Stegostoma tigrinum: one gene and its partners. The protein of the gene in region 1 purifies or fractionates together with the protein of each later gene. This does not show direct contact. Links are inferred from orthologs where the notes say so. Each region holds a gene or a part of one and is shown in the gene's direction. Other genes may lie near its edges. The genes, in order: anapc4, anapc11 and anapc13.

What was found.
Region 2: the proteins of anapc4 (region 1) and anapc11 purify together in Homo sapiens (affinity purification with mass spectrometry; 8 studies listed by BioGRID and IntAct, with this or other methods). This does not show direct contact. The link is inferred for Stegostoma tigrinum from reciprocal best matches to the Homo sapiens genes ANAPC4 and ANAPC11.
Region 3: the proteins of anapc4 (region 1) and anapc13 purify together in Homo sapiens (affinity purification with mass spectrometry; 9 studies listed by BioGRID and IntAct, counting the BioPlex papers as one, with this or other methods). This does not show direct contact. The link is inferred for Stegostoma tigrinum from reciprocal best matches to the Homo sapiens genes ANAPC4 and ANAPC13.

What each region holds. Positions count from the first base shown.
Region 1 is NC_081354.1:88,970,627-88,974,375, reverse strand, and holds the start of anapc4 (anaphase-promoting complex subunit 4), read left to right. Parts: upstream 1-866; 5' UTR 867-1,001; intron 1,002-3,749. UniProt on the Homo sapiens protein: Component of the anaphase promoting complex/cyclosome (APC/C), a cell cycle-regulated E3 ubiquitin ligase that controls progression through mitosis and the G1 phase of the cell cycle.
Region 2 is NC_081375.1:22,114,276-22,118,024, forward strand, and holds the start of anapc11 (anaphase-promoting complex subunit 11), read left to right. Parts: upstream 1-1,125; 5' UTR 1,126-1,336; coding exon 1,337-1,511; intron 1,512-3,749. UniProt on the Homo sapiens protein: Together with the cullin protein ANAPC2, constitutes the catalytic component of the anaphase promoting complex/cyclosome (APC/C), a cell cycle-regulated E3 ubiquitin ligase that controls progression through mitosis and the G1 phase of the cell cycle.
Region 3 is NC_081385.1:20,041,948-20,045,696, reverse strand, and holds the start of anapc13 (anaphase-promoting complex subunit 13), read left to right. Parts: upstream 1-1,332; 5' UTR 1,333-1,467; exon of another isoform or gene 1,468-1,476; intron 1,477-2,339; 5' UTR 2,340-2,455; intron 2,456-3,306; 5' UTR 3,307-3,417; intron 3,418-3,749. UniProt on the Homo sapiens protein: Component of the anaphase promoting complex/cyclosome (APC/C), a cell cycle-regulated E3 ubiquitin ligase that controls progression through mitosis and the G1 phase of the cell cycle.

The sequences.
Region 1 (3,749 bases):
AAACACAGCAGAAGGGAAAAGAAGCAAGAGGATAGGAAATGGCCCTCACGGAGCTCACCCTTCCTAAATGTAGGATCCCACAATTTATCTTTTTGAATTAGTGACCCACCGTTCCCAAAAGTCTGTAAACAACCTTGTACGGTTAACACCAGTGGCAGCAAGTTGGGGGTCTTTAAATGGACATTAATAGGACATTTAAGATTCTCCATTAACAGCAGTGCAAGAACACCATCCACTGATCTGCCCAATGATTTAACTGGGGAAGAGATGGAAAAGTAGTGAAATTACCTGCTCCCGTGCCAAAGTAAGTCCTGGGGAAGTGAAGATATTCTGGCCAATGCTTCTGTCAAAGTTGTCCTTAAAATCTCCCTCTCAGGAATGCAGCTTTCGCTTCTCCAGTCTTCCAGCATAGTTCCCTATCCCTGGAACTATTCTGATAAATCTTTTCAGCACTTTTTCCATGGCCTTGACTTTCCTCAAATGTACCGACTAGAGCTGAACCCAGTACTCTAAGTGAGGGCTATATAGACATAAGTGTTGTACAGACATGTATTATAAATTCCTTTATTTTGTGTGTTCTCCCTCTAATAATTAAGTCAATTATCCCATCAGCTATTTAAAAAAAATTAAAACGGATTTCTCAAATTTCCCTGCAAAATCCAAGGATGTGTTTATCCATGCCCTCTTTACACGTATTATTTCGCTCATGTGTACAAATAAAAAAAATTTAAAAGATAACAAAATTCAGAGTTAAAAGAAGTCAAGCTGCAAGTCATTTGCAACTTTTTTTTCTAATTTAGCGCTTACCCAGCGTCATCGCATTAGCAACCGCCCACGGAATCGCGCGCACAGTAACCGTAGCGCGCTACCGCCTGTACTGACGTGACCAAACGGGCACAGTGTACTCTCGCGATACCACCCCAGTGGTCTATTACGCATGCAGGCTGTGGGTTTGAACCCGACTGGCGGTGGCTGTCGCTTTTGGTGTAAACGGGCTGAAGGTAACATGCGGTGTTTCCAGTCCCGGGGCTGAGGTTCTCCCGCCCATCTGGGGTGGTCACTTCTTGTTTAAGATGCAACTGGCCTTGTTAGTAGCCACACAACTGAAGAAATATCTTCATTATGTGTGCTAAAAGCACCTGACAAGTTTCCTCATGGAAGACTGGTAAACATGGTTAGATCTCTCAGACGGTAGGAACTGCCGATGTTGGAGAATCTGAGCCAACAAGGTATAGAGCTGGATGAACACGGCAGGCCAAATAGTATCAGAGGAAGAAGGGTCCAGACCCTGAAACGTCAGCTTTCCTGCTTCTCTGATGCTGCGTGGCCTGCTGTGTTCATCCAGCTCTACACCTTGTTACCTTAAGATCACACAGACTACAGGGAGAACTAGCCATTTGGATATGGAACTGGCTCCAAGGTAGAAAATAGGTGGTGTTGGAGGGTTGCTGTTCAGATGCCACAAGGGTCAGTGCTGGGTCCTCTGCTTTTTGACATTTATGTAAATGATTTGGACATGAATGTAGGAGGAGGTATGGTTAGTAAGTTTGCAGATGACACCAAAATTAAAGATGTCGTGGACAGAGTTCAATAGGCTCTTGATCAGATGGGCCAATGGGCTAAGGAGTAGCAGATGGAGTTTAATTCATATAAAAGTGGTGTGTTTTAGAAAATCAAATCAGGGCAGGACTTAATAAAAACTGAAAGAATTTGCATCATCTGTAATTACGGGTTGAGGTGCTTCATAACTGGAGCATGGCTAATGTTGTACCTTGTGTTTGAGAACGATTGTACTGGAGAAACTGGGGAACTATAGGCCTGTGAGTCTGACTCCAGTTGTAGGTGAATTGTTGGTGGTGATTATAAAAGGTATGATTCATGCAAATTTAGAGAAGCAGAAATTGATTAGGGATAGTCAGTGTGGTTTTGTGAGGTAAATCATGCTTCAAACTTCATTTAGTTTTTTATTGTGTCAAAGAGATTGATGGCGGAGTAGTAGACTTTTATTTGGATTGTAGTAAAGCCTTTGACAAAGTTCCACTTGGTAGACTAATTAGTAAAGTTAGGTCATGTGGGATTTGGGGAGGAGCTTGCCAGTTGATACATAATTAACTTAATGGCAAGACTCAGAGAGTAATGATGTAGGTTGCTTTTCGGATTGAAAGCCCGTGGCCTGTGCTGTCCCACAGGGATTGGTTCTGGGTCCTGTTTTGTTTGTCAATTACATAAACAATTTGAATGAGATAATAGAAAGCATGTTTAGTCAGTTTGTGGGTAACACCAAAATCGGTGGCACAGTAGACCGTTAATATTTTCTAAAGTTACACTGGAGGGTTTCCTGACACAGTATGTTGAAGGGTCGACGAGGGGAAGCCACACTGGATCTGTTACTTGGTAATGAACCAGGCCAGGTGTTTGATTTAGTGGTAGGTGATCACTTTGGAGAGAGTGACCATAATTTGGTCACGTTTAGTTTGGCAATAGAAAGGGATAGGAGCATGCCACAAAAGTTATAGATGTGGGAAGGGTAGTTATAATGTGATTAGGCAAGGTTTAGGAGGCATAGAATGGGGTAGCAAAATGCAGGGGATGGGGACAATCAAAATGTGGAGCTGGTTTAAGGAACAGATATTGCGTGTCCTTGATAGGTATGTCCCTGTCAGGCAGGGAGGAAGCGATAAGGTAAGGGAACCGTGGTTTATTAAAGAAATTGTATCTCTTGCTAAGTGGAAGAGGGAGGCTTTTGTGACGTTGAGACGAGATGGTTCAGATGAGGCGATGGAGTGTTACAGATTAGCTAGAAAGGATTTAAAGAGAGAGTTAAGAAGTGCAGACATTAGCAGGTAGAATAAAGGAGAACCCTAAAGCTTTCTATAGGTATGTGAGGAATAAGAGGATGACTTGGATAGGAATAGGGCCAGTCAAAGACAGAAGTGGGAAGTTGTGTGTGGACCCTGTGGAGATCGGAGAGGTGCTAAATGAATATTTCTCATCTGTTTTCACTCAGGAAAAGGAGAATATTGTAGAGGAGAAGACCAAGTTATGGGCTATTAGACTTGAAAGGATTGAGGTTGGTAAGGACGAGGTGTTATCAATTCTAGGTGTGAAGGTAGATAAATCCCCTGGGCTGGATGGGATTTTTCCGAGGATTCTCTGGGACGCCAGGGAGGAGATGGCGGAGCCTTTGGCCTTGATCTTTGAGTCGTCATTGTCTACAGGTTTAGTACCAGAGGACTGGAGGATTGCAAATGTTGTGCCCTTGTTCAAAAAGGGCAGTAGAGATGACCCAGGTAGTTAAAGACCAGTGAGCCTTAGGCCTGTTGTAGGAAAAGTTTTGGAAAGGATTATAAGAGACAGGATTTATGATCATCTAGCAAGCAACAATTTCATTGGAGGTAATCAACATGGATTCATCAAGGGAAAGTCGTGTCTCACAAACCTCAGAGTTTTTTGAGAAGGTAACCAAGCTTGTGGATGAGGTTAGGGCAGTTGACGTGGTGTACATGGACTTCAGTAAAGCCTTTGATAAGGTTCCACCTGGTAGGCAATTGGAGAAAATGCGGAGGCATGGGATTGAGGGAGATTTAGCAGTTTGGATTAGAAACTGGCTTTCTGTAAGAAGGCAACGAGTGGTGGTTGATGGAAAATATTCAGTCTGGAGTCCGGTTACTAGTGGTGTGCCTCAAGGATCTGTTTTGGGAGCACTGCTGTTTGTCATTTTTATAAATGACTTGGACGCAGAGATAGGT
Region 2 (3,749 bases), on another chromosome or scaffold:
GCATCCCAAAACCAGTCCAACCTGTCTCTGCCTCCCTAACCGGTTCTTCCTCTCACCCATCCCTTCCTCCCACCCCAAGCCGCACCCCCAGCTACCTACTAACCTCATCCCACCTCCTTGACCTGTCCGTCTTCCCTGGACTGACCTATCCCCTCCCTACCTCCCCACCCACACCCTCTCCACCTATCTTCTTTACTCTCCATCTTCGGTCCGCCTCCCCCTCTCTCCCTATTTATTCCAGTTCCCTCCCCCCATCCCCCTCTCTGATGAAGGGTCTAGGCCCGAAACGTCAGCTTTTGTGCTCCTGAGATGCTGCTTGGCCTGCTGTGTTCATCCAGCCTCACATTTTATTATCATGACAAAGTGTGGAGCTGGATGAACACAGCAGGCCAAGCAGCATTTTAGCAGCAGGAAAGCTTACGTTTCAGCCCTACACCCTTCATCAGAAATGGGGGAGGGGAAGGGGGGTTCTGAAATAAATAGAGAAGGGGAGGCAGATCGAAGATGGATAGGTGGAGAGAAGGCAGACAAGTCAAAGAGGCGGGGATGGAGCCAAAACCAGCCCAGCTTATCCCCGCCTCCCTAACCTGTTCTTCCTCTCACCTATCCCCTCATTCCACCCCCTTGACCTGTCCATCCTCCCCGGATTGACCCATCCCCTCCCTACCTCCCCACCTACACTCACCTCTACTGGCTCCATCCCCGCTTCTTTAACTTGTCTGTTTCCTCTGCACCTATCTTCTCTATCCATCTTCTATCAGCCTCCCCCTTGTCCCTATTTATTTCAGAACCCCCTTCCCCAATTCTAATGAAGGGTCTACGCCTGAAAGGTCAGCTTTCCTGCTCCTCTGATGATGTTTAGATGTATAGTTGGCATACAAGGCAAGTGCTGGAAAATGGGATTAGATTACTTAAGGTGGTTGTTTTTGACCGGTGTAGACGTGAAAGACCAGAGGGCCTTTTTTTCTGTGCTAATAGATCTTTATGACTCTGTGGACCTAATTCCTCCCAGAGCTCTTTCTCAATGGATCAGCTCTTCTCCCAATATACAGGAGAAACAAGCCTCCCTCCCTTCTGTGGAACCCGCCAATCAGAGGCGCCAAAGTGAACGGCCAATCAGAGCGCCTGAAACGGAGGTCCCGACGCGGGGAATCAAACGCAGAAACATCATCGATGTTGGAGGAAAAAAATATCCGATCTCTGAAACTTCAATGTTGTACTGTTGACGCCCGTTTTAGTATTTTGTTTTGGCCCCTGTGGCGGGAAGAAGAAATGTGTTTCGAAAGAATGTGTTCAGTTCAGCGCTTTGTTGCGGAGGCCTGCCCAGACATGATGAATGGAGTGTGATTGCGAACAGGATCCGGAGATTTCTCCCTTGCCCCGGGCTGTCGAACCGCCCGTCATGCGGGTCAAGGTGAAGCGCTGGAACGCCATCGCTACCTGGTTCTGGGTGGCTAACGACGAGAATTGTGGTATTTGCCGCACGGCGTTTAACGGCTGCTGCCCGGACTGTGAGTAAGGGGATGGGAAAGGAAAAGAGGGAGGGAAAGTACGGAAGAGAGAGAGAATGGGGACCGGAGGGAAAGAGAAAGGGAGAAAGAATACGGGAGACATGGGTAGGAGTGGGAGAGTATGGGGTAGAGGGTGGACCAAGCCTCCAAAATGGGTGACTGGAGATGCCCCGACCCCCCAGATCCTCCAATGCCCCAAACCCCCCAGATCCTCCAATGCCCCAAACCCCATCCCTCAAATCCTATTTACATTTTTGGGAAGATAAAGTTTAAATGATGTGGATATAGTTAAACACAAGCTAACCTAAATTCATTTCCAACATTAAGCCGGTGAGTGACGTTTCTGGTGGGAAAGCTCTTGGAGAAGGTAGAGGGACAGGATGCATGCACACTTGGAAGAAAATGGACTAGTTAGCAACAAACAGCATGGTTTTGTACACGGAAGGTTATATCTCACCAACCTGACCGAATTTTTTGAAGGGATGACACAGATAATTGAACAAAAAGCTGTGAATGTAGTTTATATGGACTTTGGTAAGGCATTTAATAAAGTCCCTCATGGCAGATTGGTACAAAAACTAAAATTATATGGGATTCAGGGTGGGCTGCTAGATGGAAATAAAACTGGCTTGATCATAGAAGACAGAGGGTAATGGTGGAAGGGTGTTTTTCAGAATGGAGACCAGTAACTCGTGTTCCACAGGGATCAGTCTTAGGTCCTCTGTTGTTTGTTGTGTATATATAAACGAGCTGGAGGAAAATGTGTGTGGTTTGATTAATAAATTTGCAGATGACACAAAGATTAGTGCAATTGTTGATAGTTGTTAAACGTACAACAGGATATAGATAGATTGGCAACTTGGGCGCAGAAATGGCAGATGGTGTTGCCATCTCTGACAAAGAAGGCATATGGCATGCTTGCGTTCCTCAGCTGAGGCATAGAGTACAAGAGTTGGCACAACATGTTGCAGCTATATAAAACCTTTGTTAGGCCGCATTTGGAGTATTGTGTGCTGTTTTGGTTGCCACATTTACAAAAGGATGTGGAAGCTTTGGAGAAATTGCAGAGGAGGTTCACCAGGATGTTGCCCAGTCTGGAGCGCATTGGCTATGAGGAAAGGTCAAAAAGACTAGGATTGTTTTCACTGGAAAGACTGCAGCTGAGAAGACAAGAGGTCTATAAAATTACAAGAGGCATAGATAGGGTGGATAGTCAAAAAGGCTTTTTCCTGAGTTGAACTTTCAATTACTAGGGGGCACGGGTTCAAGGTGAGAGAGCAGGAGTTTAAGGGAGATATGTGAGGAAAGTTTTTTTTTCATGCAGAGAGTGGTAGGAGTGTGAAATGCAGTCAGAGGAGATGGTGGAAGCAGGCACATTGGCAACATTTAAGAGGCATCTGGATGGCTACATGAATGGGGGGGGAATAGAGAGATATGGACCAAATAAGGGCAGAAGGTTTGTTTTTTGGTTTAGTCAGGGCATGATGATTGGCACAGCCTTGGAGGAGTGAATGGCCTGTTCCTGTGCTGTATTTCACATTTGTTCTTTTCCTCTTAAAGTTCATTCTGTTGCTACATGAAGTAGGAACCACTCTGAAGGTGCTTTCTGGTCAATAATTTCTTCTTTCCGCTATAATAATTATTTCAAATGGGATGGAACTGTAATCTGGCTTAGAAATGGCCGTTTACAAAATGTAAAAGAAGTAAGTTTCATTAGACTGACTTGCCCTTTAATCATTTCTCATGCATATTGAAGTGGTACTGTGCATCAAACTGTATTCCTTTTACTGAGTGTATTAGCTGCTGCACCATAATCTTTGCAAACTCCATTTCTCTGAAGAACCAGAACAGCAAGAACATAGGGATACCCTTATGCTGACATGAAATTGTGATGGTGTTTTCCTTCACTGTTGGAACACACTTTCTAAAGATATCTAGGTGTATCCACATCCCATGGGTTGCAATTGATACAACTACAGCAACAAGAGGAAGTTTTGAGGCTCTTCAGAGACTATGAAAAAAGATGTAACATTGAGTCACGAAGAGCTATTAGATCAGATGGCAAAAAACCTTGGTCAAAAAGATAGATTTTAAGGGGCATCCTAGAGAGGGAGAGAGACTGATGTTTCTGGAGGGCATTTCAGACCTTGGGACCTGGACAGCTAAAGACAAGGGTGGCGTAATTAAAATTGGGGCTGCTTGAGGCCATAATTAAAGCAACGCAATTATTTTATAGGG
Region 3 (3,749 bases), on another chromosome or scaffold:
TGTGCCATTCTCAATTTGTAAAAGGTGCTGTTAAGTGGAAATCTGTCCTTTGTTGCTTGAATTCTAAGTCTTTCCAAGTCGCCTTGACGAAAACGTTCAGCCAGTCCTTGTTTGTTAAGATTACTACTTTTAAAAAAAATCAAAAATGTTAATACCAAAAGAACTGGAATTTAACAATCTGGAGTTTCACAATCTGGAACTGAAGGTTAGTGTCAGGAATTACCACTGGTGAACCAGATGGATTTTTAAGACAGTAAGACCATTATACGCAGGAGCAGAAGTAGGCCATTCGGCCCTCAAGTCTGCTCCACCACTCAATGGGATCGCAGCTTGTCTGATGTTCCTTAACTCCATTTTCCTCGATTCCCTTGCTGATTAAAAATCCGTCTACCAAAGTTTCTGACGAAAGGACATATGCCGCCCTCACCCTCAAAAATCTGGTAGACTCGTAACTGCCCTCTGAAATACCATTCAAGTTTTTTTTAAAAAGGCAAAGGTGATCAACAAATGCTGGCCATGCCCCTGGTGCCCACATTTTACAGAAACATAAAACACAGGAAAGGTCATTCAGCCAACCAAGTCTGTCCGACCAGAACTACACTAAATCTACTCCAGCCACACTTCCCAGCTCTACACTCTTCAATATTACAATTCAAATGTTCATTTCACAGGGATATTTCACTTTAACTGTGCTGTTTGAAGTCTGTGAATGCTGCCGTCCCCTACCCCGCTGCAATCCACTCACCGACCCTGGGCCTCCCGCCTCCGTCACTAGGCAACCGCTTAAAGGGAAAGGGCCACCCGACTTAAAGGGGATGGCTCAGGCCTTTCCGTTATTTGTCGGCTCAGGAAAGAAAACGACGAAAACAAACCTCACGGCTGAGGAGGCGAGCATGGAGTTTGTCAGTGAGAGGGGGGGCGAGACAGGCTGGAAAACTGAACAGGCACAAAATAAAACTGAAAGGAAAGTGCTGTTCACTCGGAAACGGCCGCAACAACCTCGCGGCGCGGAGAGAAGCAAAATCACTGCCCGGAGCCTTTTTCGGAAGAAGGACCCCGACCCGAAATGTCAACTTTCCTGCTCCTCTGACGCCGCCTAGCCTGTTGTGCTTCTCCAGCTCCACACTCTGTTATCGCCTGAAAGTCTGTGAGCTTCCATCGGAAATCAAACACTTCACTCCAATTATTTACTGATTGTGGCCGGACCGTTCATCTGGGGGGACCGAGAGGCAGGGAGAGGCCGGACCATTCATCGGGGGGGACCGGGAGGCAGGGAGAGGGCGGACCGTTCATCGGGGGGGACCGGGAGGAAGGGAGAGGCCGGACCGTTCATCGTGGGGGACCGGGAGGCAGGGAGAGGCCGGACCGTTCATCGTGGGGGACCGGGAGGCAGGGAGAGGCCGGACCGTTCATCGGGGGGGACCGGGAGGCAGGGAGAGGCCGGACCGTTCATCGGGATTGTTGGGGGTGAGGGAGAGTCCCGGACGGTATATCGGCGGGAGGGGGGCGGGGCGAGGGGGAGACGGGGGCGGGGCGAGGGGGAGACGGGGGGCGGGGAGACGGGGGGCGGGGCGAGGGTGAGACGGGGGGCGGGGTGAGGGGGGCGGGGCGAGGGTGAGACGGGGGGCGGGGCGAGGGGGGCGGGGCGAGGGTGAGACGGGGGGCGGGGCGAGGGTGAGACGGGGGCGGGGCGGGGCGAGGAGGGGGGGGCGGGGGGAGGGGGAGACGGGGGGCGGGGGCTGTTGGGGGGGCGTACGGGCGGGGGGATGGGGTGTGGGCAGGGGGATGCGGGCGGGGTGAGTGTGGGGGTGGGGTGGGACGAAGAGTGGGGGTTGGAGCAGAAGGGGCACGACGGCGCGGAGGGGAGGGTAGTGGTGGGAGGGGTGGGGTGTGGAGGGATGGGGCAGGGCGTGGCGGGGGTTGGGGAGGGAGGAGGGGCAGGGCGGTGGGGAGGGTAGGGACGGGCAGAAGGAGTGGGACGGACGTGGCGGGGGTGAGGCGGGAATGAACGGTGGGGAGGGGCGGAGCAGGACAGGGTGGGAGGGCAGGTCGGAACAGGGTGGTGGGGCGGGACAGGTTGGGAGGGTCGGGGTGGGACGGTTGGGGGGGGGGGCAGCGCCGGTGGGGGGAGGGACGGGACGGGGTCTGTGAAGAGAGAAACAGAGTTAATGTTTCTATCCCGATGTTCCTTCCTCAGAACGGCACACAGCTGGGTTCATTTACTTGTTTTAACCCAATGGATGTGTGAGGTGGCACGTTTGAAGTTTCAAGCGGAGTCAGGAGATCAGAGCAAAGACATACAGACTTACATTTCTATAACATGTTTAATGTCCATACAGATCCTCAGCCAATGAAGAAATTCTGAAGTCGCCATTGATGTACTGTATACACAGGAAGCACCCACAAACAGTATATGTGCGAGTGACCAGATTTTTATTAACCCAAGCGACCTGAGGTATTTGATTAAATGCTTGGCATGTAGGATAACAAAGCCTAATGGAAACCGAAAAGGTTGACTTAGTACAGTTCATGCTGAATCTGTTGAGAAGATTGTGCTAGTCTTTTGAGAAGGACTTCTTAGGGAAGATCAACAAATACTAGCTTTGGTGATGTCCAAATGTGATGAAAGTAAAAATTCATCCACGATTAAGGAATTGAGCTATGAGAAGATTTGGTATAATTATGTTATCTGAAAATGAAATTGAAAGATTTTACTCCCAAGATGTACAATGTTAAATGGAGAAACTTCTTGGGGAAAATTGAAACAAAGCAACATAATCTTCAAGTCCAGCTTAAATGAATATGTTGCAAAGGCCAAAGATGCAAAATCATTTGAAGGAAACACTTAGAAAACACTTAGAAAAATCAAGGGATATCAACAAAGTGCTGAAGAAACTTGGGTTTGGGAGCATCTGGAGAGAGGAAAACAGTTAATATTGTTCTGAAGGGAATGTAGGTCTTAAAGCTTAAACTCTGTTTTTCTCTCTGTAAACGGAGAGGCGCTAGTAAAATAATATAGACTCGATGGGCTGTTTAGCTTAGATTTTGTCTGGTAATGTATCTGCCACATATTGTTAATTGAATTAGCTGTCAGCACGTCCTAACTATCCCATTGAGCAAACTGATTTTCAGTATGTACGTCACAATTTTTTAAAAGGCAAATTACAACAGCAAATTTTATGTCAGTCAATCCAAACAAAATTCTTGCATTCATTTAGTAGTCTTCACAACCTCATGATTTTACAACTTGTTTCGCAGCCAGAAGTTTTGCTGCATATTGATGTAATTATTTTTATTCTTTTGTAGGATGTGGAATTTGCTTAGGTCTATATTTATTGCCCATTCCTAACTACTTAGAAAGCAGTTAAGAATCAACCGCATTGCTGTTCATCTGGAGTCATATCTAGGACAGATCAGGTAAGGATATAGATTTCCTTCCTTAAAGGACCGCAGTGAACCCGGTGAGTTATTGAGTGGTGGTTATCCACTTACTGTTACGGTAGCTCTCTATTCCAGATTTTAATTGAATTCAGATTTCACTGCCATAGTGACGTCAACATGTACGTCCCCAGAATATTGTCGTGTGATATTCGTTTTGGGTTCTGAATTCCTATTTCATTGACAACACTACGAGGCCACCACCTCCCTATTTGTACAGAGCAAGCTCCCACAAGTAGCATCACTGTTACATCTAGATAATATTTTTTGTGATGAGTTTGAAAATTTAGATATTGAGCGACATGCCCAGA